Linked DNA regions of Schizosaccharomyces pombe. The protein of the gene in region 1 binds, or shares a complex with, the protein of each later gene. Each region holds a gene or a part of one and is shown in the gene's direction. Other genes may lie near its edges.

Region 1 (3,575 bases):
AGGATGAAAATCCGCTCCACAAAGTTGTTAGTGATAAGTGGTAAAAGACGGTATGTGTTTGAGGTAACCATAATCGCCAAGATAGACAAGATGCAAGTGGAGCATTGTCGGCGTTAAAGTTAGTATTTTGATTTGTTTGAGCTATCAACATGAGTAAGTGTGCGGCGGCAGGCGAGTCGCAAAAGGAAAAAAAAAAGCCTTCATTTAGTTATCAGAGCATCGCCGACGTATACCTTTTTTCCATTGATAAATTTGTGTTAGTCAGTGCAGTTGTTCAACACAATCGGTCCTCCGTTTATCGGTAGCTCTTTTTTGCACTTTGACAAAGCACAAAATTCGTTTACATGCAATCATCTATTACGGATGTAAATGTCCGTCATAATCAAAGGAATGCCAACAACGCCAAGTGAAAGCGAGATGAGTTGGGAAAATAGGATCGCAATTTGACATTCCTACGTCTTCCTACGTCTTTCTTGGAATGAAGTAATCAACTCTTCGTAAATTAGCAGGGACGAGGAAAATATGCGACTGTTATCATTTTTAGCGCAATAAGGATAAGAAATGAGTGATTTAGGAAATAAGCAACTGGGAGATATCCATTATCACTTCCATAAGCGATAATGATAAACCGCAGGAAAAACACGTGTGAGCATGAAAAAGGGTATATATACATAGACGGAAAGGGGCTTCATCTTTTCTTTTTCTTTTGTTAGGGGCGTGGTGAATGGAAGTATTTCTTTGTTTTATGGGGAAGCGTACAAAATTGTGAAACGAAACGATGTATGTGTATGGAGTGTAGGAGTCATTCATTTTCATGAAAGAAACTATAATAAAAATGGGGTATATGATTAGAAAGGGATGAGTGAATGTTTGAAAAAATTACTTATAAAATGGTAATGAATATGATTAGAAAAAGCGGTATGAGGAAGCATGGTTACTAAATGAACCAACTTGATTATATAAAAAAAAAGAAACAAATTAAAAACTAATTTTCATCTAACTCAGGAATTCCTCCTTTGAAAATAGCCAAACATTAACTAAAAAAATTAAAAAAAAAAAAAGTAGAAAAAAAATGTAAATATTACAAATACTTCCCAAACTCCCATAAAGCATTCTATGACGATTTCCTTACACCAAGCAATTTTCCTGTTGGATTTTATTTGTCTCGACTGGTTTGTGTATCCCTGTTTCCTTTCTTTTGTTTCCAAGAGAATCATTTCCAGGGAATTGATACATTTGTCCATGCTAAGATAAAATCCATTGTTCGGTCAACTCACTTCCGATATATCTGAAACGAAAAAACAAAACCTGATTAGAAAAGCTATATGTTTTCACATATAAGAAGACTATATGTCAAACCCCATCCTAGCGTCGATATGAAATGGAACTCTGTGAAATGATAGATGTGGGGGACCTAAAAGATAAACCCCAGTGTAGTGAAATCTCGATGCTTTTGAAACTGAATAAAACCCGAGGATATTAAGACAAGTAGTTTATTAAAAAAAAAGGTTTTCCGATCGTAGTTGAGTAAAGTTTGAAAATTCAAACAATAATTAAAACAACGGATGCACATCACGCTGCTGCGTCTTCTCTTGCACGGACATTGACTTCCGTATGTAATTTGTCTAACGATCGTGCTCTTTCCATTTCTTTTTTCCTTTAAAATACTCATTTGCCTATCTTCCTCATAAGATGCCTAGCATGTCGAGCTTACGGAGAATTTTTATTTCCTTTGATTTGGACAAAGCACCTCATCCAACATGATTGTGATCGGAGCTTTGGAGCACTTTTCATCAGTTCCGTCTTCATCCTCCTTCTACACTTCCATGGAAATTATGCAAAACTTGATAATTCCATCCTTACCAATAATTTTGCCTATTTCCACGGAACTGACCCGAAAAATTTAGCAAAAGGAACGATTTCGGTATTACTTATTAGCTTGGAAATTATGTCTCGCTAAACCATATAACGAAAGTTTGGTTTTTTATCAGTAAGCGAAAAATTTACCGTCCCCCTTTTCCTTCTTGTCAGCTACATAAAAGATAGGTGCGCTGCGCTGGTCGCCTTTTTCTGCCACTCTTTCCACGCTATTTTACGCTCTTATTCATTTTTGAGGAATACTAACGTCGGCCGGTATTGTTGGAAATCGCTGCAATTTGTTAAATTGAAATACCACTCAAGTGGGTAATGGTCTCCTTTAATTGTCGATACTGAAGGTTGATTGCATTTTAGTGCGGTGTCTTAAAAGCTGCACTCGCCCATCACACACGCGTTTGGTTTGTTTACCTTCCATCTACCTGTCTGCCTTCTTTCACTTTCACCTTACACCATGCGTCGTTCTACCATTGTGCCAACTAGTCGAACAAGCAGTTCATCTCCATCTCCCAGTCAAATGAAAAGCTTTCAAATGAATCGTTTGGTGGACCAACTGTCCAAGTTGCAATCCAACATGTCTCATTTGGAAAACCACTTACATGTTACCGCAATTCAAGCAGAAGCCATCCGACGTCTTGGTGCTCTTCAGGCCTCGCTTCTGATGGCGTCTGGTCGCGTTATGTCCGAAGCGAGGATTCAAAAGTCTTCAGATGCTGTGGAAGAAGACGTTCCTATGTGAGTCTCCAACTTTTTTGATGCAGACCTCAAATGACAATGATAAAAAGGAGAATACAAGAGACAAAGTGCCCCAATGAAGGAGAAATATAACAGGAAAGGAAGTAGGAATGTGCTCTTTCTTAATTAGATGGGGCTATTTCTTATTTTACTGCAACAATGCGGTATTTGGGGCTTCTTTCAATATGTGGGTGTTGGAGTTGTATCAACTATGCATCCGGAATACGGCTTTTCGGCATTTTACGCTATGGGAGTTTTGCGACTCTCGGGCTGCACTCCCGAAACCTATGTTACTGCATTGTACGATGCAGTTCTGTAAAAAATAGCAGGCTAAAAGAGGGTGTTCTAGTTCGTCTAATAAGTGATCTCGTTCATTGGTCAGCTCGGTCGGCTAAGTAACCAAGGGAAACTGCAAAAATTGGATACCAGAAATGATTGGTCAATTGCGCTTCACAAAACAGTCAGTGTACCAATCATATGGTTTTTATTTGAGATAGCGCACAATCATTGGATAGCTAGCTAAAAAAAGGTAAAAGTGGTTCCTTTCGTTAGGCTTCTTTATTTTCACCTTACGATTTACCGAAGAGAGCTTCTTCGACCTCGCTTAGATGGGTGTGAACAACGCCGTCCCTTTGCCAACCTCAACGAAAAAAGAAAAGCAGGTTGTACTAATTTTAAACGTTTCAAACGATTTTGTAAATTGATTTCTTTAAGCTTTGGCTCCTCCTTATTACATACCTAATCAATAAATATCTGTTTTCTTTTGCAGTTTCTTCTTTTTTTGCTCTCTTCCAGGGAAAACGGAAATTTGATTTGAGGAAGCCATAGCGCCACCATTCCCCAATCTGTCTACAAATTACTTTTTTTTGTTCCACCACACCTCTGGATTGTATTCTAGCTTATATCTGTTTTATTTTTCTATATTTGTTTTGGTATTTTAGTTCGTTTTTGTTGTTTTATTTCCC
Region 2 (3,756 bases), on another chromosome or scaffold:
GGAAAAATATATACTGCGAGAAGGTAATGGGTCTGTTCGCCTAGTAATTTCTCTATCACCGTAAGCTGAACGAAAAACCAAGTGGATAGATGAGCCCGCCAAGTAAGTTTTAAGAACTGGATCCCCGTTAGCCAGACGAAAATTGTTTAACGCATTCACTGATGCGGGAGGTAGTTCCCTTTTTGCAATCGGAATTTGATGAATTTTTAACATATGGCACAAAGCAACCAAAACCACTTCTGGCCCCTCTAAAAAATCGATCACATATCCGTCAAACCCGAAAGACTGAAGCTTCTCACGAGAGCATGGAGGTTCAAAATCTTCTATCTTCTTTTTTCGTTCACTGGAGAATTCTCTTATAGTAGGAGTGTACTTAGTTTTTGAAGTGATAAGATCCATTAACTTTAGATAATCATTATAATTTGACATTATAAATGTTCGAAACGTATCCGTGCGAAAAAACCCTTCTATCAAAGCTGCAAACCCTTTTTCCTTACATTTCAAATTCATATAAATTGGGCCGTATGCGGGTGCTTCAAACGCAGATTCGTATTCCTTCAATAACTGATACGTCTGATAAGCATCTTCCCAGCCTGGAGCAGAAGACATAAAGTCTAGTTTCCTTTTCGTAGCATCGTTGTAGTAGGACAACTCTCTTTTAATGTTATCAAGGTCAATAAGCTTTTGTGCTTTCAATGTTCTGATACTACCTAGTTCATGAGAGCTCTCAAGTTTCTCGTTTTCATGTTGAAGTTTTTCCGCATTAACTTCTTGCATCTTTTCTTGTAGATCTTGAACACCGTTATCCGAAGGTCTTGGGCCTTGTCTTTCTGTTAATGACTTCACCGATTGTTGTGCTTCATTTAATGTAAGATTTGCATTCCGTAAAAGTGTTCGATTGGTATTAACCTTCTCATAAAGCTTTTTCTCGTTCTCCATGAAATTCGAAAAAGAAGCTCTGGCTCTTAAATTTGAGGTATTAAGTTCCATCGAAGCGGAGGAGTAATCGTTAAATGTATCATCTTTTAGTTTTAAATCCGAACGCAGCTCTTCACCTTTATCCAAAATAGGTTGAAATTCTTCCACTAGGTCTTTCAAATCCTTTTTTAATTTTTTTTTGTCTGCACGAAGTTGGTTAAAGACATTGGTTTTCTCTCTGTATATAACTAACATTTTAGCTAACCCTAGCATTTCGATGTATGATTTGATTTTTTCCCGTTCTTTAAATATATTGACTTCCTTCTCTAGTGCCTGTTGTCTATCTTTTAATGAATTTAATGTTGATTGTCCTTGGTTTTTATTTTGTAAAATTTCCCTTTCTCGTTTTCGTAAATCAATAAGCTTCTCATGTGCGGGAAGTAACCCTTCATGGTCAATTGCACGCTCAGTTTCCATCAGTCTAGAATAAGGATCAAGCTGAGCGAATTCTGCAACACGGTCTTGTGGTAAAAAATGACAAAGATTATTCAATTGTACATTGAAAGTATCCATTAGAGACGTTATTGAAGAAGTGGCACATGCTTCCCTATTAATAGAGAAAGAACTACTCTTATCCTGGCTTATTTGTCTCGTGATAGTAACCGTTTCATCGTCACGATACTTCATTTCAATTTCTATGGTTGCAGTGTTTTTGCCATACTTTATAAATTCACGGGCCTCTTTAGCTCTCCCAAGTAGCTAAATCGTTAATCAATTAAGTTATTTTTTATAATATTGAAAGACTTACTTTTGGGGGCCATCCCAGCCCAATGCATATTGCTGAAACAATTGTGCTCTTACCTGTCCCATTTGGACCGATAATCAAATTTAGATATGGACCAGGGAACAGTTCACAATAATCGTATGTAACAAAGTTCACTAATTTAATTCGTACAATACTTCCTAACGCGTAACTCTCGCGTGTTAAGATCATCGAAGTATAAAAAGCAGAAATACTAAATAGAAAAAAGCTATAACTTACTCTGAATACAAAGGATTACTTTTTCTTCGTTTCGAAGGCCTAAGGCCATCCATGGTGGAAGTAAGGAGGATTTCAGTCAACTAGGAGTTTGCTGAGAGCAAAGTGCTTATGCAAGGCAAGGTACAATGAGTTTAGAGGAAAAAAGAGCTCTCCAGAATCAAATTTTAGCTGAATATGCTAATCTTGCATCAAATTTAGAAACAGTAAGTCTTTTTTATTCAGCAGTTGGTTAATATTTAGCTTGTTAAGGTGTTACAGGACATGGTTTATAATCCCAGCAACAATATTCTGGACTCGCTAAGGGATTTAGAAAAGGAGGTTGGACTTGTATATACTCTTTACAAAGCTAGTGTTTGGGCGATTTTGGCAGACCTAGAAAATAACCAAGAAGGTAAAAGCGGCATGTTTCAAGATGAAAGTTGATAACGTGCTTGTTTGAAATTGAAAATACGTCAAACCGAACTATAAATTAAGCTTTAACTCTACTGTTGGTGCTTTTCGTGTGGTTTACTATGAATATTTGGAACTGAATATTTACCGGATAATTTTTCAATCACTTTTACAGAGAAAAAAATACATCCTACTTGGAAGAGTAAAAACAGGCACAAGATATAAGCTTATGAAGGTTTTTAAAAAGCACTTTTCGGCTAAAATGTCCAAGAAACGAATATGGGTATTGTTTTTAAAAAGTTGGTTAGATCACTTTTAATCAATTATCCAAAACAACCCTTTGGAAGTAGTCCGGCCTTAAATATTTCTAAACTATTACCCCGGAAACACTGACCTAATGAATCTTCCGATTAATTGCCTGTTAACATTTTATTAGATCATGCTGGATTCGAAAGTGTTTTCAAGCTTTCCTAAAAGCGTTATGAAAATGGGGTTGCATGAGAATCTGCAATGTTGTAAGCTGTTGATTTCTTAATCAAATAATAAGTTTCCTTCCTTGTTTTTTTCTAACCGTAATGGTTATTCATACTCAAATTTCTTCGTTATGAAGAGCAACTTACAATTGGGACTCGTTTTTGTCCTCGGATCATTAAAGTGAATACAGCGAGAAATTTTCTTCTGCTTGCATTTGACTAAAAATCATTTAAATGCCAGCAACTCTCTTCGAGATTGAAATCCAAAGTTTCTTCTGTTTGTACTAATATGGATTCTCATAATTTACTATATTTGATAAGCAATGAGGTTCATATTTTATTAATATACTTAATAGTGTCAAGCCCAATCCTTCAAAATATTGGCAAGTGTATGTTTTGGCATTACCAAATGACTTTGGTTTATAGTGGTATAACGTAATAATAATGGGTATTGTCTTTATACCGTTATAGACACTGCTTTTACGTTTTGATAGGCGCGTCTTACAAAGTATATATATATTTATTGCTTACGCGCATCACCGTTTTGCAAAGTGTATATAAAAAAAAGCAAGAACTATGGACTTTTTATCACATGCCATGCTTAGTCGATCTGAATCAACGCAAATTCTTTGTGAATTGAGTCAAATAGACGAAAGTACTATGGATCCTCAATATACTGAAGATGATGTTCTCGCTCGATTGTTTGTTTTTTCATCATCTTCTCCACAAACAGGTGTGTTCTCTTGTTTCAATTGATTTTTGACATATATTAGTACTGAATGTTAAGAAATATGAAGACGTTTCTGTTGGAAGGAGTAATACATGCAATTATCAGCTTCTGCAATTCACTGCCAGTTATAAGCACTTTAGAGTGTATTCGGTGCTAATCGATGATGATATGGATCCCCTTGTTTATTGTGAAGATCAGAGCTC

The links. Proteins that work in one complex are often made in the same cells at the same time.
Region 2: dad5 (region 1) and dad3 share a complex: the UniProt entries of both Schizosaccharomyces pombe proteins name them as parts of the DASH complex.

What each region holds. Positions count from the first base shown.
Region 1 is NC_003421.2:1,669,360-1,672,934, reverse strand, and holds dad5 (DASH complex subunit Dad5), read left to right. Parts: upstream 1-2,072; 5' UTR 2,073-2,329; coding exon 2,330-2,614; 3' UTR 2,615-2,991; downstream 2,992-3,575. Other genes in the region: SPOM_SPCC417.03 (uncharacterized protein), read right to left, coding at 571-692, 884-932. UniProt on the Schizosaccharomyces pombe protein: Component of the DASH complex that connects microtubules with kinetochores and couples microtubule depolymerisation to chromosome movement; it is involved in retrieving kinetochores to the spindle poles before their re-orientation on the spindle in early mitosis and allows microtubule depolymerization to pull chromosomes apart and resist detachment during anaphase.
Region 2 is NC_003424.3:5,227,741-5,231,496, forward strand, and holds dad3 (DASH complex subunit Dad3), read left to right. Parts: upstream 1-2,058; 5' UTR 2,059-2,085; coding exon 2,086-2,163; intron 2,164-2,200; coding exon 2,201-2,383; 3' UTR 2,384-3,160; downstream 3,161-3,756. Other genes in the region: Smc5-6 complex SMC P-loop ATPase subunit Smc5, read right to left, coding at 1-1,677, 1,727-1,892, 1,961-2,013; mek1 (meiosis-specific serine/threonine protein kinase), read left to right, coding at 3,400-3,556, 3,597-3,756. UniProt on the Schizosaccharomyces pombe protein: Component of the DASH complex that connects microtubules with kinetochores and couples microtubule depolymerisation to chromosome movement; it is involved in retrieving kinetochores to the spindle poles before their re-orientation on the spindle in early mitosis and allows microtubule depolymerization to pull chromosomes apart and resist detachment during anaphase.